Lonchura striata: one gene and its partners. The protein of the gene in region 4 purifies or fractionates together with the protein of the main gene of each other region. This does not show direct contact. Links are inferred from orthologs where the notes say so. Each region holds a gene or a part of one and is shown on either strand. Other genes may lie near its edges. The genes, in order: DCAF11, DDB2, COPS8 and COPS7A.

Region 1 (7,467 bases), on a different chromosome or scaffold from region 4:
CGATTTTGGTCCATTTTTGGGTAAATTTGGGTGATTTGGTTCCCTTTCAGTGGATTTTGCCCAATTTGGGTCAGATTTTGGGGTAAATTTGGGCGATTTTGGTCCATTTTTGGGTAAATTTGGGTGATTTGGTTCCCTTTCAGTGGATTTTGCCCACTTTGGGTCAGATTTTGGGGTAAATTTGGGCGATTTTGGTCCATTTTTGGGTAAATTTGGGTGAATTTGTTCCCTTTCAGTGGATTTTGCCCAATTTGGGTCAGATTTTGGGGTAAATTCAGGTGATTTTGATCCATTTTTGGTTAAATTTGGGTGAATTTGTTCCCTTAGAGTGGAATTTTCCCAATTTTGGGGTAAATTCAGGTGATTTTGGTCCATTTTTGGATAAATTTGGGTGATTTGGTTCCCTTTCAGTGGATTTTGCCCACTTTGGGTCAGATTTTGGGGTAAATTTGGGCGATTTTGGTCCATTTTTGGTTAAATTTGGGTGAATTTGTCCCCTTTCAGTGGAATTTTCCCACTTTGGGTCAGATTTTGGGGTAAATTCGGGTGATTTTGGTCCATTTTTGGGTAAATTTGGGTTATTTCATTCCCTTTCAGTGGATTTTGCCCACTTTGGGTCAGATTTTGGGGTAAATTCGGGCGATTTTGGCTCCGCAGGCGCCGCTTTGAGGAGTCGATGCTGCGGCGCCTCAGCGCCCCCTGGCGGCCGCCAAAGGGGGCGGGGCCAGGCCTGGATGACGTCACCAACCTCGGGGCGTTTCCCGCCCTTTTGGGAGCGGCCAATCAGGTGCGGGGGGCGTGGCCTGGGGGGGAAAAGGCGGGAAATGGGGGAAAAAGGCGGGAAATGGGGGAAAAGGCGGGAAAATCAAATTTTTGGGTCGATTTTCTGGATTTTTGGGGCGGAATTCTTTGGGAATTTTTGGGCTGAATTTGGGGGATTTTGGGGGTCAATTTTTGGGGAATTTCGGGTTGAATTTGGGGTTTTTGGGGGGGATTTTGGGGGATTTTGGGATGGATTTGGGTTTTTGGGGTGAATTTTGGGGGATTTCGGGTTGAATTCGGGGTTTTGGGGGTGAATTTGGGGGATTTTGGGGTCATTTTTTGGGGAATTTTTTGGGGTCAATTTTGGGGGGTTTTGGGCTGAATTTTTAGGGAATTCTGCGCTGAATTTGGGGGATTTTGGGGTCAATATTTGGGATCAGTTTTGGGGAATTTTGGGCTGAATTTGGGGACTTTTGGGATCATTTTTGGGGAATTTTGGGGTCTACTTTTCGGGAGTTTTGGGGCAAATTTTGGGCAGAAATTGGGAAATTTTGGGTTGAATGTCGGGGGGGTTTTAGGATCCATTTTTGGAGAATTTTGGGGTTAATTTTTTGGGGAATTTTGGGGTTAATTTTTTGGGGAATTTTGAGACAAATTTGGGGGATTTTGGGGTTGAATTTTTGGGGAATTTTGGACTGAATTTCGGCGATTTTAGGGCCAAGTTTTTGGGAATTTTCGGGTCAATTTGGGGGAATTTTTGGATCAATTCTGGTCATTTTGAGGCAGAATTTTTAGGGAATTTGGGAATTTTAGGGTCAAGGTTTGGGGAATTTTCGGGTCAATTTTGGGGAAATTTTTGGATCGATTCAGGTTATTTTAGGGCTGAATTTTTAGGGAATTTTGGGCTGAATTTTGGGAATCTTAGGGCCAAGTTTTGGGGAATTTTTGGGTCGATTTTGAGGAATTCTTGGGTTAATTTGGTGGATTTTGGGGCGGAATTTTTGGGGAATTTTGGGCTGAATTTGGGGGATTTTGGGCTCCATTTTGGGCCGAATTTGGGGGATTTTGGGGCTCAGGATTCGTCGGAGCCGCCGCAGAAAAAGAGGAAGAAACAAAAATCGGGGAAGAAGAAAGGGAGGAAGGGTGAGTCCGGTTTAAACCGGTTCAAACCAGTTTAAACCGGTTTAAATCCCTTTAAACCGGTTTAAATCCCTTTAAACCGGTTCAAACCAGTCCAAACCAGTAACTCCCAGTTCCCCCCCAGGTTTCCGCCGCCGCCGCCGCTGATCCTCCAATAAAGATCCGTGATTTTCTGCCTCATTTGCATCTCATTTGCATTTCTTTCCGCCTCGCCAGGGGTGGGGGGAGGGGGTTTATACTGGGAGGGGAAAAAAAAACCACAAAAAACCCCCCAAAAAATCAAAATTTTCCCCAAATTTTTGAATTTTTTTCAATTTTTTCCCCAAATTTTTTTTTCGATTTTTTCCCAAAATTCCCATTTTTGTCCCTGAAATTCCCCCCAGTTTTTTTTTTTATTTTGGGGATATTTCTCCCAAATTTCACCTTTTTAAAAATAAAAGCTGCCCAAAATTCCAAAAACCTTTTTTTTTTGACATTTTTTTTTTTAAATTCCAAATTTCCTCCCGATTTGCGCTGGAATTTTTGGGTTTTTTTTAAAATTTCCCCCACAATCACATTTTAAATCGATTTTTTCCCCAAAATTTCTCCTTTTCCCATTGATTTCCCCAAAATCTGCTTTTTAAATCCGTTTCCCCCCAAAATTCTGATTTTTTCACCTATTTTTCCTCAAACTTCCTCAATTTTTGTTATTTTTTCCCAAAATACTCCTCATTTTAAATGGATTTTTCCCCAAAAAAAATGTTTTTACTCTTTTTTCCCCAAATTTTTACCATTTTCCTGATTTTTCCCCTAAATTTCCCAATTTTCCACAAATTCCCCCAGTCTTTCTCCTTTTTCCCCAATATTTCCCAATTTCCCCAAAATTCCCCAAATTTCTCCCAATTTTCCCAATTTCCCCCAAAAATTCCCAGAATTTTCTTTTCTCCCCAAATTTTCCTTTTTCCCCAATTTTTCCTCATTTCCCCCAATTTTTCCTCATTTCCCCCCAAAATTTCCCCCCAAATTCCCCCAAATTTCTCCTTTTCCCCCAAATTTTCTCTTCCGAAATTTCCCCATTTTTCCCCATTTCCCTCAAATTTCTGAATGTTTCCCCAAAATTTCCCCTTTTTACCCAAATTTTTCCAGGTTTTCTCACAAAATTTCTTTTCCCCCAATTTTTTCCAAATTTCCCTGAAATTCTCCCAAATTTCTCCTTTTTTCCCTAAATTTTTTCTTTTATTCCAAATTTTGCCCAAACTTTCCTATTTTCCCCTCAAATTTCCCATTTCTCCCATTTTCCCCTTTTTTCCCCATTCTTCCCATTTTCCCCATATTTCCCAAATTTCTTCCTTTTTTCCAAATATTTCCCTTTCTTCCCAAATTTTCCCCAATATTTCCCCATTTCCCCAATTTCCCCATTTTTTCCCATTTTCCCCATTTTTTTCCCCAAGATTTCCCCATTTTCCCCAATTCTCTACATTTCCCACATTTTTTCCCCGCTTTTCCCCAATTTCCCCCAAAATTTCCCCATTTCCCCCATTTTCCCCATTTTTCCGCATTCTTCCCATTTTCCCTATTTTTCCCAAATTTCTTCTTTTTTTCCAAATATTTCCCCTTTTTTCCCAAATTTTCCCCCATTTTCCCCCAATATTTCCCATTTTTTCCCCATTTTCCCCCATTTTTCCCCAAATTTTTTCTTTTCTTCCCATTTTTTCCTCATTTTCCCCAAAATTTTCCCATTCCCCCCCAATTTCCCCCATTTTTCCCCATTTCCCCCATTCCCCCCAATTTCTCCCATTTTCTCCCATTTTCTCCCAATTTTTCCCCATTTTTCCCCATTTTCCCCCAAAATTTCCCCATTTCCCCCCATTTTTCCCATTTCCCCCCAAATTCCCCAAATTTCCCCCATTTTTCTCCATTTTTCCCCATTTTTTCCCCATTTTTCCCCGTTTTTCCCCAATTTCACCCAAAATCTCCCCAATTTCCCCCAAATTCTCCCATTTTTCCCCATTTCCCCCCATTTCCCCCCATTTTTCCCCATTTTTCCCCATTTCCCCCCAATTTCTCCCAATTTTTCCCCAATTTTCCCCATTTTTCCCCATTTTTTCCCATTTTTTCCTATTTTTCCCCATTTTCCCCAAAAATTCCCCATTTTTCCCCCATTTTTCCCATTTTTCCCCAAATTTCCCCCATTTTCCCCCCGTTTTTCCCCAAATTTCCCCCAAAATTCCCCATTTTTCCCCCTTTTTTCCCCTTTTTTCCCATTTTTCCCCATTTTTCCCCATTTTCCCCCATTTTCCCCCATTCCCCCTCTCCACCAATCCCCGCCTCCCTCTCATCCCGCCCCTCCCCTCTCCACCAATCCCCGCCCTCCTTCCATCCCCTCCCCGCTCCCACCAATCCCCGCCCTCCTTTCCCCCTCCGCCAATCAGCGCGCTCCCCCCGCAGGCCACGCCCCCTCCCCCCTTACCCCACGTGTCAATCAGCGCGGGGGGGGCGTGGCTCGCTGCCTGCGCGCTGATTGGCGGAGGCGGCGCGGTGGGCGGGGCCTAACCCGGAAGTGGCGGCGCGGGGGGATCCATGGGCGGCAGGAGCGGAGGGGGGGGAGGGGAAAGGGGAGGGGGGGGGAGGGGCGGCCCCGGGGGGGGGGGAGGGGCCGGGGAGGGGGAGGGTGGGGAGGGGGGGGAGGGGCTGGAGCTGCCGGAGCTGCGCGCGCTGCTCAGGAGGTGAGGGGGGGGGAAACTGAGGCAGGTTCGGGGTGGGGGAGGGGGTTTGGGGGGTGGGGGAGGGGATTGGAGGGGTGGGGGAGGGAATTTGGGGGGGATTTGGGGGAAACTGAGGCAGGTTTGGGGGTGGGGGAGGGGATTTGGGGGGAAACTGAGGCAGGTTTGGGGGTGGGGGAGGGGATTTGGGGGGAAACTGAGGCAGGTTTGGGGTGGGGGAGGGGATTTGGGGGGGATTGGGGGGAAACTGAGGCAGGTTCGGGGTGGGGGAGGGGATTTGGGGGGTGGGGGAGGGGATTTGGGGGGTGGGGGAGGGATTTGGGAGGGATTTGGGGGGAAACTGAGGCAGGTTTGGGGTGGGGGAGGGGATTTGGGGGGAAACTGAGGCAGGTTTGGGGTGGGGGAGGGGATTGGGGGGGATTTGGGGAAACTGAGGCAGGTTGGGGGTGGGGGAGGGGATTTGGGGCATTTTTGGGGAATTTTTTTGGGTTTTTGTTGGGAATTTTAGGGAATTGCTTGGGGAAATTTTTGGAATTTTTTGGAATTTTTTTGGGAGATTTTTGGGCATTTTTGGGGTGAATTTTGGGGTAAATTTGGGTGAATTTTGGGTAAACTTTGGTTAAATTTCGGGTGAATTTTGGCTGAATTTTGGTGTGAATTTTGGGTGAATTTTGGCCATTTTTGGGCTGAATTTTGGCCATTTTTGGGGTGAATTTTGGGTGAATTTTGGGTAAATTTTGGCTGAATTTTGGCTGAATTTTGGGTGAATTTTGGGTAAATTTTGGCTGAATTTTGGCTGAATTTTGGCTGAATTTTGGCTGAATTTTGGCTGAATTTTGGCTGAATTTTGGCCATTTTTGGGTCATTTTGGGGGGAATTTTGGCTGAATTTTCGGTGACTTTTGGGTGAATTTTGGGTGAATTTTGGCTGAATTTTGGGTGAATTTTGGCTGAATTTTGGCTGAATTTTGGCTGAATTTTGGCTGAATTTTGGGTCATTTTGGGGGGTATTTTGGCTGAATTTTGGGGTGAATTTTGGGGTGAATTTTGGTGAATTTTGGGGTGAATTTTGGCTGAATTTTGGCTGAATTTTGGCTGAATTTTGGGGTGAATTTTGGCCATTTTTGGGGTGAATTTTGGGTGAATTTTGGGTGAATTTTGGCTGAATTTTGGGGTGAATTTTGGCTGAATTTTGGCTGAATTTGGGCTGAATTTTGGTGAATTTTGGGTGAATTTTGGCCATTTTTGGGTCATTTTGGGTGCCTTTTCTCCAGGGCCGGGCGGGGCAAATCCCGGAGCCGGATCCGGACTCAGACTCGGACTCGGAGCCGGAACCGGAACCGGAACCGGAACCGGAAGCGGAAGCGGAAGGGGGGGGAGGGGCCCCGGAGGCCTCCAGAGGTGGGGGCGGGGCTTAAAGGGGGCGGGGCTTGAGGGGAAAGGGGCGGGGCTTAAAAGGACCACATTTAAATAATGGGGCGGGGCTTAAACAAAGGGGAGGGGCTAATAGGACCTGATTTGAATAAAGGGGAGGGGCTTAAACAAAGGGGAGGGGCTTAAGGTGACCTGATTTGAATAAAGGGGAGGGGATTAAATAAAGGGGAGGGGCTTAAGGTGACCTGATTTAAATAAAGGGGAGGGGCTTAAACAAAGGGGAGGGGCTTAAAGGGGCCAGGTTTAAATAAAGGGGAGGAGCTTAAATAAAGGGGAGGGGCTTAAAGGGGTCGAATTTAAATAAGGGGAGGGGCTTAAACAAAAGGGAGGGGCTAAAGGGATCTAATTTAAATAAGGGGAGGGGTTTAACTATAGGGGAGGGGTTAAAGGGGCCTAATTTAAATAAGGGGAGGGGCTTAAATGGGCCTAATTTAAATAAAGGGGAGGGGCTTAAATAAAGGGGAGGGGCTTAAAGGGATCTAATTTAAATAAGGGGAGGGGTTTAAATAAATGGGAGGGGCTTACATGGATCTAATTTAAATAAAGGGGAGGGGCTTAAATAAAGGGGAGGGACTTACAGGGATCTAATTTAAATAAAGGGGAGGGGCTTAATGTAACATAATTTAAATAAAGGGAGGGGCATAAATAAGGGGAGGGGCTTAAAGGGGAGGGGCTTGCATTGATCTAATTTAAATAAAGGGGAGGGGCTTAAAGGGACCGAATTTAAATAAAGGGAGTGACTTAAATAAAGGGGAGGGGCTTAAATGAATCTAATTTAAATAAAGGGGAGGGGCTTACATGGATCTAATTTAAATATGGAGAGGGGCTTAAATAAAGGGGAGGGGCTTAAAGGGGAGGAGCTTAAATTATCTAATTTAAATAAGGGGAGGGGCTTAAATAAGAGGAGGGGCTTATATGAGGGGAGGGGCTTAAAGGGGGGGGGAGGGGCTTAAAGGGAGGGGTCAGGGTTAAAAGGGGCGTGGCCTGATCTGAGGCCCCGCCCCCTTTCCTCCCCCCCCCAGCCGCCCCTCCCCCCCCCGGCCCCGCCCTGCAGGAGCTGCGGGCGGAGCTCGGGGGGGGCGGGGCCGGGGCGGGACCCCCCGAGCGGAGCCTGCCCAGGCTGGTGCGGCAGGTGGGGAACTGGTTTGGACTGGTTTGGACTGGGAGGGCACCGGGAGGGGGGAAAACGGGGAGAAATACGGAAAAACGGGGAAAAACGGTGGAAAAACGGCAAAAAAAGGGTTAAAAACGGGGGAAAAGGGGTTAAAAATGGGGGGGAAAGGGTTAAAAATGGGGTTTGGGTTACTGGTTTATACTGGGAGGGACTGGGAGGGGGGAAATGGGGAAAAATGGTAAAAACGGTTAAAAATGGGGGGAAATGGGGAAGAAAGGGTTAAAATGGCCAAGAAAGGGTTAAAAATGGGGTTTGG
Region 2 (7,129 bases), on a different chromosome or scaffold from region 4:
ATTAAAAAGAAAACAAACATAGAAGACTGAAAACACGTGGATCATCCTATATGATTACAACCTAAATTAAATCTTTCTTTAATGCAATGATGGAGAAAAGCACACTTCTTTGTTCACATAGTGAGAACACTTGTCACACTTGTTGAAATAGGTACAAAAGTATTTCTATTCTAATTTCTTTTTTTTTTTTTCACTAAAGAATTGGTATCCACAGTTCCTTCTTCAGAGGTGACAGAAATTGAGGTATTTTTTTTCAGATTCTATTTTACAATTAAGGATAGTTTATTAAGAAACAAAGCTTCAGGCCTTTTTAGAATCAGCTGAAAGAAACCCTCTAAAAAGGTGGTTTAATTGTAAGAAATGGAAACTGTCCTATATGGATCAGGAGAAAAAAAAATTCCAAACACAAACAAACTGGAACACAGAATGGGAAATCTCAAATAGAAAGGTCTTCATCTTTTTAAGAAAGGGTTAAGGGAAAATATGATTAGCCTCATTTTTCTGAAGTATCTTACAGGAATGGCAGATTCTTACCAAATACAAAAATCGGGTCACAAAGTTACAATAAAATCATGTAGCTAAATTAACTACAGAAGATGTTTTAACTATCTACAATTATAAACGGAACTCCTTTCAAACAGAGTATTTTGCCTCCACAGTTACTGTTCACTCTGCTAACTCCTCCAAGTTTGGACTTACAGATCACACAATGGAAATGTGCAAAATCATAGAACCCCTGTATCTCTGACTTTTGAAAAAGACTTCAGTAATTTCTGGATCCTTAAGCCAAAATTGTACAGAAAACACATAGTATCTCCACATAAGGCAGTAACCCTAGTGATTTCCTAAACCACTGATGGAATTAAAAGTTATGTCTGAGAAAAGGAGGCTGAGGGGAGACCATATTGCTCTCTACAACCACCTGAAAGGATACTGCAGCAAGAAGGGAGTTGGTCGCTTCTCTCAAGTAACAAGTGAGAGGAAGGACAAAAGGGTCTCCAGTTACACCAGGAGAGGTTCAGATTTGCTATCATGAAAAATTTCTTCACTGAAAGAGTTGTAAACCATTGGATTCTATGATCTTAAAGGTCTTTTTGAACCTAAATAATTCTATGAAATCGCTGTAGGTAAAGTCTGGACAACTTCCTCAATATATGCAAAGCATTAAACTTTCCAGTATATTAGAAATTAATCACAACTCCACATTACATCAAAACTCTTTAAGATTTGGTCTTTCTCATAAGTTAGTCACCAAAGGAAAAAAAATGCACATGAGAAGAAGAAATTAGAGGAAACTCTGTCCTTTATAATCTGAACAGAGGTAGAAAGTATTCATACTTACTGTAGCAAAAGTTAGAACAGGGAAAGAATGGGGTTCAAATACCAGCTCAGACTGGATGCTGTAGGACACCAACACTTAAACTAACAGTTGTATTCAGAATTGCATGAGAGTAAGAATTTATTACCAAGACTGGTCTGTCTGACACTAAAGCAGAGATCTGGTAATACTGGAATTCTATAAAACTTGACCACCCTCAAATGAGCTGTAACAGCATCTTCAGTGCTTCAGGCTTTTATCAAGGGGTACATAGTCTCAAACATTCCTGCATGCACACACATTCACTAGACAAAAACTTGGAGGATGTACTACCCCAACACAAGTCTGCCTATTACTTCAACATCTAACATCATCTGAACACTCATGTCTGAACATGATTCTTGGCATTCTTTCTCTTCAACTAGTAAATGCCTGTCATTTGCAGTAAATCTGGTAGGGAGAAAGAATCTGAGGAAATATTACCGATTTTCCCTGAGGGTCTAGATGCTTTTCTCACAAACAACTTCTTTTCTTGTTTCTCATTCCCTCGTTCTCCATAGTCCCGTTTCCTCTTCCCAGCTGATTTTGCTTCTTCTGGCCAATGCTGACATGCCCTCTCACGCTTCTTGTCCTTTGGCTGGTTTACTGGAGCCATTCTGCCTGACCACTGAAAGCAAGCAAAGCATGGAAGGTAAGACTGTCATACACTTCTAACCAGAGGACAGAGAGGAAAAGTGGAATGGAACATATCCCAGTTAGTCCGAACGTAGTGATTAGATGTGTATCCTCTTTCATTGGGATGACACTAGCTTTTTGTTGTTCTCTACTGAAGAGAGGAACAGGTTCAATAAAATCTTCTTTGTTCACATATGAAAATGAATGTATCCTAGAGCACTAGAATATGTTTTGACAGATGTGCCTCTACTAGACTTTTAAGCCTGAAACCCACAGATCTGCATAAAGTACATCTGTGAAACCACATAATCCCCTAACTGTTTCTCTGGTAGCTCACACTGAGCTCTTTAGATTCAGCTAAGCAAAAGGTCAGAATTTTTATGATGATGGCCAGGGCTGACTGGCCTTGCAACAAATGGGCTCAGAAGGTACTTCCTGCATAGTGGCCACTTTTCCTCACAACCACCACCTGGTATTTGGATTCAGCTCGTGCACAGCCTGGCAGCCACACCGGAACTGCTCTTCTAACGGCGGTGAGATTCAGCGACTCGTGTCCCGGGTTATGCCGGCCACAACGCCACCAGGCCCCTGAGGAAAAGCACAGGCCTTCCACGGCCTTCTCTGCAGCCAGCGGGCCGTGCGCCAAAGGCCCTCCGCAGCCGCAGCACCTTCCCGCACAGCATCCCTGGGCTGAGCCTGCGCTCACGTTGAGCTCGTTTAGAATTCCTGAATGGCCATCACGGATATCTGTTAAATCCAGCTCGGCGGGCACCGCGCAGGCTCTTGCGCAGGCAGCTGCCGCTTCCGGCACCTCCGGGCACGGCGGGGCCTCCCCTCAGCCCCCGGCGCGGCCCGCGGCCCTCGCGGCCCGGGCGGAAAGCCCCCCCGCTCTCACCTGCGCTCCCGCGGCCTCGGCTCTCCCGGCGCCGCCGCGGCCGGCGGCCGGCACTGGCCCCTCCCCCGCGGTTTCATAACCGGGGCGGGAACGGGGGGCAGCGGCTTCGGCCCGGCCCCCGGAGCGGCACCGATTTCGCCGGCCATGGCGGCCCCCGCCAGCCTTCCCCGCTGAGGGGCAGCGCCATCGACAGGGGTAGGCCGGGGAGGGCTCGGCGTGCTTGTCTAGCCCTAGCCCGCCTCCCCCCCCTACCCCTGCCGGCCTCCCGGCCATCCGCATGAGCAGCGCCTCCGGCCCCCCGGCAGCGACAGGCGGCTGCGAGGGCCGAGCCGGCCTGAAACGCGCGGTCCGTCTGTCTGCCTCTTGTTTATTTGGTGCAGCACGTAAAATCATATGCCCCTCATTAGTTTGTAGAGCACCAAATTGGCCTATTAAAGCCCCAAACACGGCAATCAAAACAAATCAAAACATCATTTCCACAAGAAAACTCACCTGGTGTTGGAACACAACAACAACAGCATCAACACCATCAACAACAAAAGGTGCTTCAAAAGCTGATAACAAAGTCTTGTCGAGAGCAGCTCAGAGAGTACTAGATCCTACATGGTGCAGCTGACAAGAATGGGGAAGGAAGAGCTCTACCAACAGAAAGGGAAGTACCAGCACTTCGCACCTGCAAAGGAGGCTGCTGTCTGCCGGCCGTGGGGAACCTTATCCCTCATCTCTGAAGCAGTGAAGTCCCTGGCTTCAGGCCTAACAGTAACTATGCTGAGTAATTAAGGTACAGTCATCCACACAGGAGGCTATGAACACAGGTTCTGAAATAGCTGTACATAGCCATGCCTTCTGTAGGGTTTGGTTTCACGTGCTACTATTTTTTGCGCTATAACTACAGTTACCTATGGATTTTCTCACATACTAGAAAAGGCACAGAAAAATTCCCCAGAAAAACAACAAACAGTCTCTATGCTCTTTCCCTGAACAGTAACAAAGTTTTATTACTTGCTGTATCAGAATGCCATACACAAAAATGATAATCACTAATACAATCTGGTTTTGGACATATACACCAAACCAATTAGCAAGTCTTAGAGTCTCAACAGGCACTTTTATAATATACAGCTTTTGTCTTAGAACTGTACCCATTAGCAAAAACCAGTGTAACCTACGCATTTCCATCTTGGAGCTATCACAGCATTTTTTAGAAATGAAATAGACTAGAAAAGAGTAGAAAAGGCTATTGCCTGTGGAAGGCACCTACAATGAACATCTAGTCCAACTGCCTGACCAGTTCAGGGCTGACCTAGTCAAAGCCTGGTATTAAGGGCATTGTCCAAATGCCTTTAAAAATTGACAGCTTGGTGCATTCACCACCTCTCTCTAGGAAGATTGTTCCGGTGTTTCACTACCCTCTCTGTAAAGAAATGCTTCCTATTGTCCAGTCTAAGCCTACCCTTTTACAGCTTCAGACCACTCCTATGCATCCTATTACTGGATCCCAGGAGTAGAGATCAGATCTCCCACTACACTTACCCTTCTCAGGAAGCTGTAGGGAGCCATGAGGTCTTCCCTCAGCATGCTTTTCTCCAACCTAGGCAAGCCAGACTCTGGACTCCGGACCAATCGAGGACTTCAACACCACTCTCAAATGTTGAGTCTCAGAACTGCACAAAGTACTCAAGATGAGGTCACATGCTAAATAGAGTGTTTGTGTCAATGACTAACACCAAGTTTGATTTCTCTCTGGAGAATCACGAGATATTTTTGTAATAATTATCCACTAAGGGTAAGAACAACAGACAGTACACAGTTCATGCACAGAAAAATGCCACTGGCCTGATGTCCCACAGCTCAGTGTCTGGATGGTACTCTGAGCAAGAGAAAGACTAATTTGAAAAAATATTCTTTGACGTATTTACAGTGTCTTAGAATTGCAGTATGCAACAAAGAGGAATAGAATTCTGCATGGGCAGGATATTAGGTTTATTTTATTCTGCCAGTTCTCTGATGTACAATTATGCTGAGGTTCTGCCTCAGTTATGGGACATGGTTCTCTCCAACAGAATCACGTTGTCTTATCACTGGATCCGGTGAAGCTATATTGAAACTAAGATCAGTTTCATGGTAGTAATAATACCATTAGGTGTTCTGCCTCCTTGTTTCCAGGACCTTTGTCCAAAGCATGAATAATTTTGCCACCTTAGCTAAATATACAGTTATATACAAATGTATAAATCATATACAAATATATAAATTATATATACTGATGTATATATCATTAGAGCAACTAGAGTTTGCCATGCATATGAAAACAAGCCTATATTCCATGAAAAAGTAAAACAAAATATAAAACCCAAGAGATGAAGGAGTAAATATCATGCTATTTGACCTCCTTCTCTTCCATGGCCATTGTTAAGCTGCCCATACCACGAAAATGAACAAAAAGATCACTATCATTATGGGCTTATTTACGAAAGCACCCTATCTCCCCCAAGCCATTCCAGCCTTGGAGGACAGGATCGCAACAGCCATGCTATTTAATACTCTCACCTTGCAATCAGTATTGGTGGTGGCCAAGTCCCACATGGGCAGTATCTGTCTTAGACATGCTATCTTAGATGCACATGAGATAGCAATCTAGAAATCAGCATGCAAACATAACACCGGGCAAACACTGGATATAGACTATTAATGGATGACAGGAGCTTGCCTTTTCTGACCTTCATTAATGTACATTACTTTGATAACAGAAATCAAAAATGCAGAACTTAATTGAATTAGGGAGTATCTGTGCCAAAGAATAGGGTTCAGTTTTGTTTTAGTAAAAGACAAAGTTGCTTATACTCTCAGCTGTGATTAACTTCAAGGACAAGACAAGCATATTTTTTCACTTTTTACAAGTGACACCCATAGGCAATGACCTGTCATGGGTGTCTACCTTCCAGAGACCCTATGCTGGTAAAGGTGAACAGAGGATTGGTCTCAGAAGAAATTAAGTGGAATGGTTTCTAATGTCCACTTTCTAACACAAAATTTCACTGTATATGAAGGGCATCAGCACAGTTATTTTCTGGTTCTTATGAAATCTAGGGCACTTGGAAAGAAAGGCAAAACACCTAAGTACTGCTGCAGAGAAATGGAAGATTTATGGCATGCTCTTTCCTTTCTTTCTTCTGCAAGGCTCTCAGTCTTTCCTTTTTCCACCAATTGAATAAACATCACTACAAACCCACAGTTGGTCCTTGGAATTATGTCCCAAGTCACTTGGAAGCAGTGACTTCAAGAGAAGGCGGGCCAGCAAGGCCTGGTAGCGCTCCGCCAGCAAGCCCTGGCCCAGGGGATATTGCACTCAGGGATTTAAAAGATGACGTCCAAATTATTCAGATAGACGTTTTCAGAGAAATGGAAGAGTGACTGAAAGCAGTTTGCAAGATCGGGCTGAACGAGAAAGACGGATGCCAAGGTGAACTGATGCCACCCTCTAAGCCCAGGGAGAGTGACCCATGCCACTCTCACACGAGAGACCACAGCACTTCACTTGGGTGGAAATCAGCCTTGGGGAACCTCCTGCTCCAACAGCAGGGGGGCTCCAAGCCCTGCACGTCAGCTGGCCGGTACAGCACACAGATGAACGAACTCACGGACAGGAGCCGAACTCGGGGCTGGGCCGAGTGGGCAGCTCCTCCCAGAGCTGTCTCCCTCCCGACCCCGCCACGAGGGGGATCCCAGCCAGGCCGATTTCCCTCAGTCCCCTCCGCATCCCACAGCTGCAGCCCTTCCCAACGTGGAGGTAGGGGAGAACGACAACGGGAGCCGGCGCTGCCCTCCCGGCACCTCTGCCGACCCCACCTGCCTGGGCAGAGCCCGCTCCCGTTAATTGGATCAAGGGCCGGGCGGCGGGGGCGGGAGGCGGGAGCTGTGCTGGAGCGGCTCCGTCGCTGCCATCGGAGCAGCCCGAGCGCGGGCCCGCCCCGCGGGAGCCGCTGGAGGCGGGGCGGGACCCCCGAGTCCCGCGGCTGAAGTAGGGGGAGGGCTCAGCCGGCCCCTCCCCGAGGTGGCCGCTGCCCGCTGAGCGTCCCGCCGCGCCGCCTGCGAGGTAAGCGGCGGGCTCGCTGCTGTGGGCTTCGCTCCGCGGGCCCGCCGCCTTTTCGGACCTGTGCCCTGCGGGGTGCTGGGGGTCCTGGCGGCGGAGCCCGTCCCGGTCCCGGCGCCGCCTTCCCGCGGCGAGCAGCGTGTCTCGG
Region 3 (7,912 bases), on a different chromosome or scaffold from region 4:
GCCCGCTGCCCCGGTGGCTTTGGCGGGGGACAGGTGTTTGTTAACACGCGTGCCATCACGGGGGATTAGCGGATTTAAAAGCGAGCCCCGGGAGACACGGCGGTGCATCGCGCTCCTGTTAAAAGGAGGGATGCTGAGCCGCGCAGGGAGGTTTCTGCAGGAGCGTCTGCCCCTCTTTCACAGGAGAGGGAAAGGAAGAAGCCCCTGCGTTCACAATGTGAGTCCTGTGCATCGTATCCTGGTGGAAGGGCGTGGGCTGGAGAGGGGCTTCTGCACAGGGATGCTCCGTCCTGGAAATGCCCCAGCTGGAGCAGGGATCACTCACTCCATCCCCCGAATGCTCCCTGACTGCACCAGGGACCCTCCCCAATTCATACCCTCCAACATCCCTGCTGGACCAGGGACCCACCTGCTCCATTCCTCAAATGCCTCAGCTGGAGCAGGGATCCTCCATCCCCCAACCACCCCGTGCTTGACCCGGGATTGTCCTACTCCATATCCAAAAATATCCCATGCTGGATGCTTGATCCCACCCTACAATGGACCAGGAATCCCCACGCTCTCTTTATCCCCTGGAATTTGGGGGTTTTCAGAGATTTCCAAGCGAAGGAACTGCAAGGTGGGGGAACAGTCAAGAGAAGAGCTGTTACATTGCTTAAAGGTACCACAGCTCCTTTCCATGGAGGATTAAAATATGTGGAGAGCAAGAACTGCTGGCCCAGGAGCCAGGGAGGGGACAGAAACTTGGCTGAGGATCCCGGAGAACAAAGCAAAAACAGGAAAATGCACAGACAAGCCTGGAAAGTCATAAAAACAAAGTTTAGGTTAAATACACAGAGGGTCTCTTATGCCCTTGGCAGGTTAATTAAAGGGCAGCTTTTGCCTCCAGAGCCTGTGGCAGGAGCCATCGCTCCTGGTTACTCACAGAGAAGACAAGAGGAGGGGGATGGAGGTGTCTGGGGTGGACAGAAAGGAGCCCAGCCAGCCCCAGATCTCAGCCCTAGGGGAGATTTGCCCCGGAGCAGCAGCAGGAGGACACAGAGCCCCACAGGCAATGACAGCTGGGTGGAAAAGCCTCATCACTTCCAGCTACTCTGGTCACTTTTTGGTCTCCTACATATCCTCCAAGCTCCTCAGCCTCTCTGATTTAGGGTTTGTTTTTTTTTCTTTTTACTTCATAGAATCACAGAATTATAGGATGGTTTGGAAGGGACCTTATTTAAAGCCCATCCAGTTCCACCCCCTGCCATGGGCAGGGACACCTTCCACTATCCCAGGTTGCTCCAAGCCCCATCCAAATCTGACCTTGAACACTTCCAGGGATCCAGGGGCAGCCACAGCTTCTCTGGGCACCATGTGCCAGATATTTATACCACTGTGCTGGAGTATAAACCTCTAGAATTGAGACCTTGGGTGTAAGCTGAAAAATCAAGGGTGAGGTCAGCAAAACAAACAAACAAAAAAAACACACACAAAAAAAAAAAAACCCAAAAAAAACCCCCAAAAACCAAAAAAAAAAACCAAACAAAAAAAAACCCATAATATCCCAAATATCCCAGATAGCTTCTTGTTTATTGGAGTTGAAACCAACGTCCCTATGGACATGCAATAGATTGAAAAGCTTGTTTGGGGAAAAAGCAATGATAATTTCCCACCAGCCGCTTGCCATTTCCTTTCATGGGCACAGCTCCTAAAAACGAGGCATTTTCCCCTTTGATGTCATGGAAGGAAATAACCTTCCGTGTTTGGATCCAGCCTTTGCTCAGATCAACCCAGCTATTGCCAGTCAGGCTGTTGAGGGAATGGGAAGGGCGTGGGGAGGTTCATCTTGACCCTTTAGCACCATTTTCTTTAACTTTCACATTAAATTACTGTCCTATTGTTCCATATCGCCCCATTGCATCCTAATTTCCCCACCACGAGTCTTTTGTTCCTCTACAAAGCTTTGGAAGCAGATGAGAAAAGGAAACCACTTGCAATCATCTTTCCAGAGGGTACCTCCAGATCACAGGCAGCAGCACATGGAAACAACTGGGAAAATTAAGCCCTGTCACGAAATGTCTGTTAATTTTTCTTGGAAATGCCTTGGTATTGCTTTGAAAGCTACTGGGTCTGTCCAGGATGGCAGAACTGGGATCCATTTCCCTCCCTGCTTTAAAATTCATGCAAGGCACAAACGAGTTGCTGAGATTTTCCTGCCATCATCACCAGGAGCTGAATAAAAATCACATTAAACTTACTTTACACTCCTGCAGCAGCCAGCGGCCACTGTCTTTAAGTGCTTTTTGAGCCTGTGGGCCAAAGAAAAATCAGGATGCTGTCAAGTCAAGGAGCCTTCCTGTTAATTTAACGTGGTTAGCTTTGCCAGTGGGATAGATTTTCCAACGTGCTCAGCTGTTTTATGAGTCTGGCCTCTTCTTTTGGTGTCTGAATTGAGGAGAAATTCCTGAGTGAAATAAATGACCTTGTGGTTTTCTGAGATGCTGGCTCAGGCAGCTGCCATCACCGTCCAGAGGTCCTGGGTGATGCCACCACACTGAGGTCAGGCTCCAAACAACGCCAGGAACATCTTCCACACCTCCCGGATTTATAACAACCCTGAAAATACAACAAATCTGCTGTATTTTTTCTTGGTGACTCAAAAAGAAGAGTATTCCCTTCTGGCATGTTTCCTCCCTGAACATGTTGCCACAGCCTTAAATAGCTTTGGAAAAGGGGGGAAAAGAGAGAGGGGAGGATGCAGAACATGCTTGCAAAAGGGTAGGTTCTGGCTAATTCCCTGCCAAGGAATTGCTTCCAGAGAGGGGCTGGTGCATTTGGGAGGCTTGGCTCAGCAGTGCATGAAGCAGCACTTCTTCTGTTGTTCCGAAAGAAAAATGAAAAGCAAAACGAAATGTTAAAAAAATAAAGAAACAAAAAAAACCCAACAACAACAACGAAAAACCAAAACAACAAAAAAAAAAAGCCAAAAAACCCCCTAATTCCCCCCAAATAGAAAGATTCTCTCGGGTGGAAGGGACAGCGGGATGTTTGGACGTCCAGTTTCCTTGGATTTTTAGGCAGTTTCTCTTGCAGCTAGTGCCCTCTTGAGGAAACCTCTCCTCTATTCTATTTTTACAGGGTTTTTTTCCCCCGGATGAAATGATCTCCCGGCGGGGAGCAGGAACATGGTCAGGGGCTGCGATTCTGCCCCGGCCCAACACAGCCAGCGGTGCCGGGGACCGGCTCACGCCTTCCCACCTGGACCCACCGGGAAGGAGGATGGCATCGGGATGTGGGATTGCAGCCCCCAGGAGAGGAATCCTTCCCAATTCAACGTGTTCCCGGTGGCAATCCGGGATGCTCTGACCCCATCCCCGCGGGAAGGTCCCCCACCGGCATCATCACAAGCTGCCGCCCTCTTTGCTCCCCTCCTCGCCTCCCGAAAACACGAGATAATTGGGAACGGGAGCAAAAGGTGAGGACAGTGCTCCTCTCAGATGTCCGAATGTCAAAGCGACGCTGGCACAGAGCTGGCGGCTACAAAGGGCCGTCGGGATCGATGCGGCTGGCGGGGACGGCAGCGGGATGAGAGGTTGCTTCCCGGGAAAGTGATGCCTGAGCCGGCGGAGCAGCAGTGCCATCGCCTGGACCCTCCTCCAAGATGCTGTGCCTCAGGCGAATCCTAAAGTGAACACAAACACACGTTAATTTTGTTTTTCCACAGCCAAAACCTCTCCCGCAGCGCGGGGACTCCGTGGCAAAGGGATCAGGATTTACCCCACTCTTCTTTTTTTCACCCCAAAAGTGTGGAGGACTCACGAGTTTCACAGCGAGGTGGTGCAGCTCTTGAGCACGGCTTGGGAAAATTCCCTGCGTGAAGGATAAATGGCTTGGGGAATGATTTTTAGGGCAGTGCTGGGGATGGAGGATGGTGGAAGCGCTGGGGTCAGGCTTTGTTCAAGGAATATGGAGAGGAGGATGATGATGGAAAGCAAACCCGTTGTACCAGAAAAGGAAAGTTTTGCAGAAAATGAGCCCTTCGGGCTGATTTTACCCTGAAAATATGAATTTACATCTGCGGCCCCAGCAATACCACTGATTAGGATATTGGTGCTGCATGTTGGGAAAAGCGTGAGCTCTGAACAGGCTCCCCGGGGAATGGTGACATTCCCAAATCTGCCAGGGCTTAAGGAATGTTTGGACAAGGCAAAGGCTGGGATTGCTGGAATAGGTGTCTGTGCAGGGCCAGGGCTGGACTTGGTCCTTGTGTTTAACCCAGGGTACTCCATGCCTATGGCCTGTCTCCAGCAGCCGGCAGCGGGTTTCACAGGAAACAAAGATAAAGGAACCCAACTGTAAAAACTACTTCTAAAGCCCAGCACCAACAGGTACAGAGCTGGAAAAGCACTCCCTACCCCTTGAGAACAACCCTTACGTACATGCAATAAGGGATGTGCAATAAGGGATGGAGGGCGTCCGCCTCACGCAGCGCATAAATGCGGCAGATACGAAGAGAAAACCGTATTGCACGCCAGGCACACTCATTTCTTTATAGGGCGCGGAAAGTTGGCTTGTCACACAGAAAACAAAGGGATTTTAAAGGGCTGTAACCGCGGCCGCCCTCAGGCGCCGCGCGCCCCCCTCAGCCCCTCACGGGCTCGGCCACGCCCCGTATTGGTCACGCCCCGGATTGGTCACGCCCCCGGATTGGTCACGCCCCCGGATTGGTCACGCCCCAGCCACGCCCTCTAATTGGTCACGCCCCCGTATTGGTCACGCCCCCGGATTGGTCACGCCCCCGGATTGGTCACGCCCCAGCCACGCCCTCGGATTGGTCACGGCCCCGTATTGGTCACGCCCCCGGATTGGTCACGCCCCCGCGGTCCTCCAGGAGCGCCGAGAGGCGGGCGGGAGGCGCGGAGGGGAAGCGGAAGTGACGTCATCGCGCGGCGCCCGCTGCGGGCGGGCGGCGCCGTGAGGGGAAGATGCCGGTGGCGGTGATGGCCGAGAGCTCGGCGAGCTTCAGGCGGCTCCTGGAGCAGTGCGAGACGCAGGAGCTGGAGGTGCCGCGGGACGGGGGGCGGGGAGGGGTCTGTGTCCGTGCGTGGGAGGTGGACAGGGTGCGTGGGAGCGGGGGAGGGCTCAGTGTTTGAGCTTGCCCCTTGGGCTCGCCAGAGAGCCCGTCGGAAAGTAGCACCTTGCAGATAAATGGGTGTTTCCGTATTATTATTCGCGTCGCTTCAGAGGGAATGGAGGGAGTGGTGGAGTTTGTGGGTTTCCGTCCTTCTCGTGGCTGAGAAAATGAAGGTATCGATCAGGGGAGTGCAGCCCTGAGCCAGGCTCGTGGAATTACCCTTAGAACGAGTTTAATGTGGCAGCTTTCACTGGGAGCTCCCTCTGTGCTGCTTTACGGTCTGTTGTCCCTTGATAAAAGGCCCGAAGCCTCATTGGAAATCTTTGCAGCTTTCAAATTTTTTCACCTTTTTTATCGCTCCTTTATTTCCTCCTTGCGAGCGCTGCTGAGGTGTGGCAGGGGCCGAAGCTTAACTCGAGGTTCTTGGGAGGGACGGAGAGGCTTTGCTGTGGTGGAGTGGCCTGAGCTGAACGTAATCGAAGTGGGCGGGTGATTTAATTTCACTTTCAACAGCTGCAACTCCTATGAGCATAGGAAGATGGAGGCTTATTTATTCCCCCCCTAGAAAATTGCAAAGACCTGTTACATGATGTGAGAAAAAACATAAATAAAGCTCAGTCATCTTGGGAGTGTTCAGTTTATGTAAAACCTGGCTTGGTGCTGCGTTTTGTATCACATCCCCCTTTAGAATCTGCAAGCCAAGAATGTGTGTGTGTTTTCAGGCCCCTGGAGGAATTGCCACACCCCTGGTGTATGGCCAGCTGCTGGCTCTGTACCTGCTGCACAACGACATGTAAGTGGCTTGTCCCAGCCTGTGGCACTGGCTTTGTCACCAGCACGTTGGGAATGGGCTCTGGGATTAATAAAAATGTTGGTTTTATGGAGAAATAATAACAATATTCCCAAGAATCGAGTCTCTTTCACCCCTTGATCTGTCAAGAAAGCTGTTCTCCTTTCCTGTGTGGGAATTTGGGAATGCAGTTCCTTCAGTGGTGAAATTGGCTCCTCTGGGAAGTGTTAAACATTTCAGAGATTTGTTTTGTAGCTCTTCAGGGCTGCATTTGTTTTAGGTTGGATTTGGGGTTATTATGGATTTATTGGTTTGTTTTGGGTTGGATTTGTTCCTTCTGTTTAAATTCCAGCAGGATAACTCTGGACCATCCCTGTTAAACATGAGTGTTACTATTGGCTTGAAGGAGCTAAATCTGCAGGAATTCCTGGGAATTTGGTTTGGGGGGGTTATTCCATGTCTCTGGGTGTACTTAATGCACTAAACTTGAGGTTTTGGGGAGAAGTTGCTTTCCCAAACTGGTGTTAAATGAGGCAATTAAAGAACTGTTGGTTGTGTTACAGCAGTGCAGTGTTGTCTGCTGGAGAGCAGCTCTGCTTTTCCCACTTCAGTATCCAATATTCCTTCCTGGAAAGAATATTTTTAAAGCACTGAGAATATTCATTATAGCATCTGGACAAACCTTGTGGTGTCTTTTTGCTGCATATGGTGACTGAGAAGTATTTTTCGTCTTTCTATTTATTTATTTTTAGGAATAATGCACGTTATCTCTGGAAAAGAATCCCTCCTGCTATCAAATCTGTAAGTATTGGGCCAAATTTACTTCAGAAACCTGCTGGTTTTGTTGCACAGCAATGTTCTCTGAAAATATGGGGGTGGAAATGGGTTTTTGCATAAGGATTTTCTTCTGGATTAATACTGGCTTTTGTTTTTGGTTTTTTTGTGGTTTTTTTTTTTTTTTTTGGTCACAACAGGCAAATGCTGAACTTGGTGCAGTTTGGTCAGTGGGACAAAGAATCTGGCAGAGGGACTTCCCAGGAATCTACACAGCAATCAGTGCACATCAGTGGTCTGAGACTGTCCAGCCAATCATGGAAGCACTCAGAGGTACAAGCTGAGCAGGGAATTGCCTGGAATTATTTATGTCTGCTCCAACAGAAGCAAATTGTCAATTGTGAAAAATCAGGACAACTGTTGCCAAGTTTTTGTAGGTTTTACTAAAAGGTTTTCCGGTGTCGGGTGTAAATAAATAGCTCTACAAAACCTTGTAGAAACAAGTAAATTGGTCTTAGTAGGATTCTGTTTCTGTGTATTTTTTGACACTGGATTTTCATAAACCATGTGGTTTGTTCTGTAAGAGCAAAACAGACCATAAATCACCCAGTTTTATCAGACTTCTAACCAGGGAACTTGGCTTGGCATTTCAGAACCTTGTAGGACTTAGAAAGTGGTTTTTCAGTGAAATGTTTTCCATCTTGTGTAATGGTAACATGCAGATTCTTGCTCCTAGAGGGCAGTGCAGACTGCTAAAAAGAGGTGTTTTGCAAAACAGGTTCCCTAAAACTGCTTTTTAGATGCCACTAATTAGTAACTAATTGCTGGCATATTGCCATCAGAGGATGCAGAGTTCCCTGAAGTGCTTTACATGCTGGTGGTGCAGCCCAGGATGCTGCAGGCTGCGCTTGGAAGTTCAGTGTAGGCTCTGAGGGGCTTTGTCCTGGCAGAGAACAAGCTGTTGTCTCTTGCTGCTGACTGTGAGCTGTGGGAAGGGAGGGGGAACTCCTGAAATGCTCACTTGAAGGCTGGTAGTGATTTTCCAGAGGTGGTAGAATTGAGGAAATGTTCTCAGCTTTCCCAGCTCTGGAGATGAGTCTCTTGTGTCCTGTGTTCTCTCTCCCTAGATGCAACCAGGAGACGAGCCTTTGGACTGGTTTCCCAGGCTTACACATCAATAGTTGCAGATGATTTTGCAGCCTTTGTTGGCCTTCCTGTAGAAGAAGCTGTGA
Region 4 (6,909 bases):
TGGGCTGATTTTTAAGTGTAATCCCTGTGTGCATTAGCCCAGTAGAAACTAAAGGGTTAAAAGGCTTCTGTATCATGTTGGTATCCAAGAGAGTCCTGCCAGCCTCCCTTGTCCTTACAGTTTGTCTCAGAGTCTGTGTTACACACAGTTGTGAAAAATCGTCTCATGAGATGTGACTCTGCTATGTTTGGAGAGGGACTGGTGAAAAAAATGTCTTCAGCGTTTTGACAAGTTATTTGGATTCTGTGGTGGTGAGGAAAGGAACAACCTAGAATGAGCCCATACAGCTCTACAGCTTTAAAGTGGGACAGTGAGCACAGAGGAAAGTGGATCTATAGCACAAAGAGAATGGAGATTTCTTTCTGTAAAGATCAGAGCAAGATCAGAAGAGAGGGATGATGCTAGGGGGTGGTTACAGCTAGGATCAGAAATCCCAAATATTCGGAAACAACAACACAGAACGTCTCCGTGTCACAAGATTTATCTTAAAATTATGAAATGTCGTACAGACTTGCTTTCATCTGCACTCTTCGCCTCCTACTTTCGGCTCTTTTGGTTACATGAAAATCACATTTCACAGTTTCCCCGTGACCATAAAGATAGGTGTTTGCTTTGTGAGGAAAGCAAAAACACAGAAGTTACTGACTCCAGGAGGCTGGGATTTGATTTCAACACCCAGCATTCCCATCTAGGGATGAGGCCAAAGTTTTGCTACGTTGTGGAGATGTTACCCATGACTTTTGCACTCGTGAAGACAATGACCTTCTCATTTGGACAGCGCAGGATCTGAGTCATTTGAAGCACCTTCTGGTCTTTGCCCTTGATGCAGGATAAAAAAGGAGCAGACAAAAACATGGGGAGCCAGCACACAGCACATAGGAACTGGGGCCAAAGTGGAGGAGACAGAGAGAGCATCAATGTAGCTAGGATGCTCAGGCTGCCAGGCTTTATCTAACTAATAATGAAAGGCAGCAAGCGTGTCAGAGAGTGTGAGAGAAACAGATCGATAGAGAGATAAAACTGAGATGGAAGGAGCCGGCAAGGGGGTGGGGAAGAGAGTAATAAAACATTACAAATCGGCAGGGTTACGTTTGAACCTGATTTGAATGCACCCTGCACTGGTGTAAGTGAAGATAGGAGGTGTGAGGCTACGGTGGATCTGGCCTAAATACATAAAACAGGGAGGGAAAAGCAGGGAGGAGATGGTGCCCTTGTCAATATTGCCCTGTAACCTGCCTTCACAGCTCTCAGCCAACCTTACCTGCCCTGCCTCTCCTTTCATCTTGCTGTTTGCAGAAGCCCAAATATTGCTGGCTCAGAGAATACAGACTGATAGACTTTCCTGCTCCCCTGAAGAAATGCCTGTTGTGTAAAATGTGTCTTGGTCCCATTTTACCTGACTTGAGCATAGGAAACACTCCTTACTATTTTGTTCATTGAGGACCCGGGGTAGCTTCCGACAATGCCCTGAGCCACTGGATGTGAGGCACTTGCCTAGGAGAGCTCATTGACTGTGCCCATGCTCAGTTACCAGTGGAAGATAATCGGAGAAGTTTCTTTGCTCAGCTTCAGGTTTTTTGAGGCAAAGGAGACTGCGACATCTCAAAGCTAAAATGGTCAGAGCACATAAATGAAAATGTGCCCTACAAGAGCAGGACTGAAGGTTTGGGTGCCTTCCGCTCTCAGGGCACATGTTTGCTTCTCTGGCCCAGCACTCAGACCTGTTTTGCTCCTTTTGCCTGGAATTGGTTTTAAGTGCTGTCCATTTAATCTTCATGGCATGATCATTAATGTTAGAAGTTCAGTTTTTCACACTGACCATTGCTGTCCACACTGTTCCCTCCTTCTGTCAGTAGCCTCAGTGAGGAGACCAAACACTGAAGAGGATGACCCTGAGAAGGAGTAGTGACAATCCCTACAGCTGTACAAATGAGCTTGGGAGACAACAATCCAACCCCCAAGGCAGCCACAGGTTATGTTTTCTAGATCTGAAATTATGTTTGGAGCAGGATTGTACCCCAAAAGAGCCTTCTCCATGACTCAGCCACAGCAGCTGCGTGAAAAGAACTAGAGTCAAAGCAAGAGAAGAGAGTTGTTGATACTGGCAAGTAAAACCTTAACAAACATAGACTTCACCCAGATGAAGATTTCAAGATGTTACACTTATTTCAAGATGTTGCACTTACAGAAGTCTGGCAAAGCACAAGTCAACTGCCTTTAATATGTGCTAAACTGATCCAGCTGAAGACCAAATCTCTTGCTGGCAATTACGTGCTGGAGTGCAAACTTGCCCTGATGGCTCTACGATTTTAACGTCCTAGAACCGTGCTACCTGCATAGACTGTATCGGCCTCCCAACAATTTGTTGCCTACTTTTCTTTCACGGAGAATCACTGTGGGTTTCTGAAGGAGCCAGGCAGGAGGAAATTCGTGATGCACTGGAAACTCTTGGCCAAACAGCTTAATGTTTCTTATTGAAATGCACACTGACTGCACTCCTCCCAGTCCCCCTCTCAACTCACCTCTGCCTCCCATGTGATTTATACAAGATGAGAAGAGCTCTGAAGGTGTGGGTGTTTTTTTCCCCAAATGACCCCCACTTTTTATTCTTTCTCACCTGGCACAGGGAACTGTGCCCTCAACAATGACCGCATTGCTGTAACTCACACACCCACGAAGATATACTTAAGGTGCACTATAAACATTTCTATCCTTGTGGAGCATTTAAACTATCTTTTTATGGCCATACCCTGCCTGCATCAGGGATGCATTTCTTGACAAGTGCAATGGTTAATGATTCAGCAGATAGTAAAGTCATTTTTTGGTAAAAATTAATGCAGTAGAGGAGGGGAGGCATGCAGGGATTTGAGAAATGCACAGCTTAAATACGTAAGTACAGTGCTTTGCAACATAAGATTTTTTACATTTACATATCCCCAAAACACTGCCGAAAATAGTGAGATCTTAATGGTGTGAAAGCAAAAATGAGAGCGATGTGTGTGGGCACACACAAGGTATTCTATGCACCTCGTTCAATTCTGGTGTGGTGCTTATAGAATAGATCATTGAGATGTGAAAAACACCATGCCATATAGTAGTGCATCTGTTTTCCCACCAGTTATTTCAACATTCATCATAGAATCACAGAATGGTTTGGGTTGGAAAGGACCTTAAAAATCATTTTGTTCCAAGTCCCTGCTGGAGGCAGGGAGGTGTGCTATTAGACCCCGCTGCTCAGAGCACCATCAATCCTGGCCATGAACATTTCCAGGTGTAGGGATGAAGAGTAGATATTCACCTGACCGGCAAGACCCAAAAACATGTGGATATTCTTCTGGCATTGATTGCCTTGTTGGGACACACCTCACGATGGCTGAGCAGCCTGGGGGAGTTTTGACAGAGGACGGGTCATGAAAAATAAGAGAACAGTGAGCAGACGTGGCTGGTGAGCGGGGCAGGGCATGAAAAAAGCACAGAACGGAGTTGAGGGCTGGCTGGTGCCGAGGCTGGGGACCAGCAGGTGGCCGGAGACCGCAGCCTGTGCTGGCCCGGGGACATGAACGCGCCGTGGCAGGATGACGAGGGCGGCCGTGGGTGGCCGGGAACGGCCCGGGATGGCCGGGAATGGCCGGGAACGGCCCGGGATGGCCGGAGGTTGCGGCGGGACGGACGGGACGGCGGCGGGACGGACGGGGCGCAGCGCTCAGCCCCGCCAGCGGGGGGCGCCCTGGCGGCGGCACTGCGCCGCCGCGCGGCGCCCGGCCCGGCCAATGGGGAAGCGGCGGGGGCGGGACAAGCGGCCGGCTCCGCCAATGGGCGGCGGGTGCGCGTCAGACGCGGAAGCGGGCGGTGCGCGGGGCCGGCCGGGAGCGGCCGGGCCGGGGCTGCGGGGGCGAGCGAGCGGCCGCGCCGGGCCGCGCCGGGCCGGGCCGGGCCATGGCGGCCGAGGGGAAGGTGACGGGGCAGAGCCAGGAGCAGTTCCTGCTGCTGGCCAAGGCGGCCCGCGGCGCCGCGCTCGCCAGCCTGATCCACCAGGTGTTGGAGGCCCCGGGCATCTACGTGTTCGGGGAGCTGCTGGACATGCCCGCCGTCCGCGAGGTGAGGCGCGCCCGGCCCCGCGGCCCCGCCCGGCCCTGCCCGCGGCCCGGCGGCGCCGCCTGACCCTGTGTCCCCGCAGCTGGCCGACAGCGAGTTCTCCCCCGTGTTCCGCCTCCTCACCATCTTCGCCTACGGCACCTACGCGGACTACCTGGGTGAGGCGGCGCGGGCATCCCGGCCCGGTGCTGGGGATCCCGCGGGGGGAACGCGGGGCGCACAGGGCCTCCCTCCCTCCCTCCTTCCCTCCTTCCCTCCCCGGCAGCCAGGCCGAGCCCCCGGCACGACGCTCTGTGCTTTGGGCCCTGCCAAAGAGCATCCCGGCAAAGACGTTTCTGAGGGGCCGGGGCAGAGACTTGGATATCCATTGGGATGTGCAGACCCGCGTAAATAACGCATGGGACAGCTAGAAAGGCTGAGTTGAGGGTGGCAGAAAGAAAGGCTGCTCAGAAAAGGTCTTTTGAGCTGAGAGTTGATGGGGATGGCTTGGCAAGACGAAGCACCACTTGGGGGATTGGTGTGGAGATGTTTTAAGAGACGGGTGTGGTACAGATGCTTTTATGCAGAACTGAGAAACGAGGCATAAATTCCAATATCCTGTTCTTTCCCCTGACAACAGCTGAAGCAGCAAACCTCCCTCCCTTGACAGAGGCCCAGAAGAACAAACTCAGGCACCTGTCAGTCGTCACTCTGGCTGCCAAAATCAAGGTAGTGGCCCTGTTTTTCCCCGAGTTCTCCCCCACTGGGATTATCTTGTGCTAGTTACCATCGTGTTTCCGCAGTGCATCCCCTACTCAGTGCTGCTGGAGCAGTTGCAGCTGAAGAATGTCCGGCAGCTGGAGGACCTGGTGATTGAGGCTGTGTATGCAGATGTGCTTCGAGGGAGCTTGGATCAACGGAACCAGCGCCTGGAGGTGGATTACAGCATTGGGAGGGACATCCGGAGGGAGGAGCTTAGCACCATCACCCGCACATTGCAGGAGTGGTGAGGAGGAAGCCCCCAACCCAAAAAAGGTTGCAGGAGTGGCCAGTGGCTTCCCTGGATCCTTTGTTGCTAAGGGTGGGTGGTGTTGGGAGGTGACCTACTTGATCCCCTTTCCCGTACTCCAATGGAAAGTAATTTTCCAGAAATAACTTCCCAAATCCCCCTGTTGTGTCTAGAGGGGTGATGGGGACGCAGCAGCCTTTGTACAGCGCTGGCTGCTGGCAGGAGGCTTCCTGAGTGTTTATCTGTAGTTCTTAACCCAGCATGGCTTTGTTACCTGTCCCCCTCCCAGATAATAACATAATTCCCTGTGTTATTACATCAGACTCCTGCCCCTTTATCTTCCCTGCTTGGCATAGCTGCCACCTCCCAGTGTTTTTGCAGTTGAAATCTGCTGTCTTTCACATTTCCATCCATGCTGTGCCAATTCCCTGGCCTGTTCAGTTGTGGGTCTCCTCTCCAGGTGCCAGGGCTGCGAGGTGGTGCTGTCGGGCATCGAAGAGCAGGTCAGCCGGGCCAACCAGCACAAAGAGCAGCAGCTGGCCCTGAAGCAGCAGATCGAGAGCGAGGTGAGTGGGTGCAGCAGGGAGCAGCCAAAGCCCCTCACCTTAAAACAACTAGAGCCAGTACCCTGTGCTTGTTAGAGGCTTTGCTGAAGTGAGGCATTGCCTTTTCCCTAGGTCAGACCCCCCAGGGACTTGTGACTGAAGAAGAGTCTTAAATCAGCTTAATACTCTTCTGCAGTGCAGGGGCCTGGACAGATGTTGGCTCTTTTGCTTGATGTGAGCTTGCAGCTCTTAGCTCCAGGGCTTCCTTTAGAAACAAATTTAAAAAAAACCCCAAATTGCAAATAAAAAAGCCCGTAGCTAAAAAGTCCCCAGCTTTGGGAAAGCCATTAGTTCTTACTTTGCCACTATTGCAGGTGGCAAACCTGAAGAAGACCATTAAAGTGACAACAGCAGCCGCTGCAGCAGCCACGTCCCAAGACCCAGAGCAGCACCTCACGGAGCTCAGGGAGCCGGCCCCTGGCACCAACCAGCGCCAGGCAAGCAAGAAAACCTCCAAAGCCAAAGGGTGAGCACTGTGGGCAGACAGAGCCCGTGTGTGTGGGAACACTTCTTTCTGTGCACTTAGGAAGGAAAGAAAATATGAACCTGAGTGTGCACTTTGAACTTTTATTTTCTTTTTTTTTTTCCCTGTGCCCACAGGCTCCGGGGCAGCACGAAGATTTGGTCTAAATCAAACTAGTTGGATCTCCCTTCACAACTGGGAGGGTGAGAGGAAGAGATATGGGGGATGGAGGGGTAGCAGGGTCCCAGGCGTGATTGCTTCTGAGCTCTTCTCTGAGATCCATCTTGCCAACTAACTCTCCTGCATGTTTGTTCTCTTTTCTTTCTTTACCAACCTTCCAGGCAGTGTCTCCCTCCTTTTCATCACACTCTGAGCATTTCACACTCTGAGCTTGAGGTTGTACATGTTGCTGTTTCCCCAGCCGCTCGAGCCCCCGTCGCCACGGCCACGTGTTTCTCTCTTTCTCTCTCCCTGTCTTTTGACAGGTCGATTTCAGGAGCCGTAAAGGTGTGACAGTCACCTTGGCACCCCCAGGGCATCACAAGAGCTTGGAAGGAGGGTGCTGGTGCACAGCAGTTGTTTTGGCTCTGTGAGACCCCCTGGGATACTTTGCTCCAGGACACCATCTTTGATTGTTTAATCTTTGTTTTGCTAGGTGGGAGGGTAGTTTTTGAAGGGATTCTTTTAAAAAAATATATAAATATATTATAAATATATATAAAACAATAAAAATATAGATCTATGGACATATCTATACA

The links.
Region 1: the proteins of COPS7A (region 4) and DCAF11 purify together in Homo sapiens (affinity purification with mass spectrometry; 3 studies listed by BioGRID and IntAct, counting the BioPlex papers as one, with this or other methods). This does not show direct contact. The link is inferred for Lonchura striata from reciprocal best matches to the Homo sapiens genes COPS7A and DCAF11.
Region 2: the proteins of COPS7A (region 4) and DDB2 purify together in Homo sapiens (affinity purification with mass spectrometry; 5 studies listed by BioGRID and IntAct, counting the BioPlex papers as one, with this or other methods). This does not show direct contact. The link is inferred for Lonchura striata from reciprocal best matches to the Homo sapiens genes COPS7A and DDB2.
Region 3: the proteins of COPS7A (region 4) and COPS8 purify together in Homo sapiens (affinity purification with mass spectrometry; 11 studies listed by BioGRID and IntAct, counting the BioPlex papers as one, with this or other methods). This does not show direct contact. The link is inferred for Lonchura striata from reciprocal best matches to the Homo sapiens genes COPS7A and COPS8.

The regions. Positions count from the first base shown.
Region 1 is NC_134641.1:644,511-651,977, reverse strand, and holds the start of DCAF11 (DDB1- and CUL4-associated factor 11), read left to right. Parts: upstream 1-4,461; coding exon 4,462-4,468; intron 4,469-7,059; coding exon 7,060-7,169; intron 7,170-7,467. Other genes in the region: uncharacterized protein LOC110481942, read left to right, coding at 658-787, 1,839-1,905, 2,027-2,049. UniProt on the Homo sapiens protein: May function as a substrate receptor for CUL4-DDB1 E3 ubiquitin-protein ligase complex.
Region 2 is NC_134608.1:39,083,786-39,090,914, reverse strand, and holds the start of DDB2 (DNA damage-binding protein 2), read right to left. Parts: upstream 3,002-7,129; 5' UTR 2,889-3,001; intron 1,986-2,888; 5' UTR 1,974-1,985; coding exon 1,802-1,973; intron 1-1,801.
Region 3 is NC_134610.1:38,283,983-38,291,894, forward strand, and holds the start of COPS8 (COP9 signalosome complex subunit 8), read left to right. Parts: upstream 1-4,893; 5' UTR 4,894-4,967; coding exon 4,968-5,045; intron 5,046-5,838; coding exon 5,839-5,909; intron 5,910-6,658; coding exon 6,659-6,707; intron 6,708-6,880; coding exon 6,881-7,013; intron 7,014-7,807; coding exon 7,808-7,912. UniProt on the Homo sapiens protein: Component of the COP9 signalosome complex (CSN), a complex involved in various cellular and developmental processes.
Region 4 is NC_134604.1:29,610,991-29,617,899, forward strand, and holds the start of COPS7A (COP9 signalosome complex subunit 7a), read left to right. Parts: upstream 1-3,900; 5' UTR 3,901-3,936; coding exon 3,937-4,098; intron 4,099-4,177; coding exon 4,178-4,253; intron 4,254-4,714; coding exon 4,715-4,803; intron 4,804-4,877; coding exon 4,878-5,080; intron 5,081-5,543; coding exon 5,544-5,649; intron 5,650-6,002; coding exon 6,003-6,154; intron 6,155-6,288; coding exon 6,289-6,328; 3' UTR 6,329-6,354; intron 6,355-6,492; exon of another isoform or gene 6,493-6,636; 3' UTR 6,637-6,909.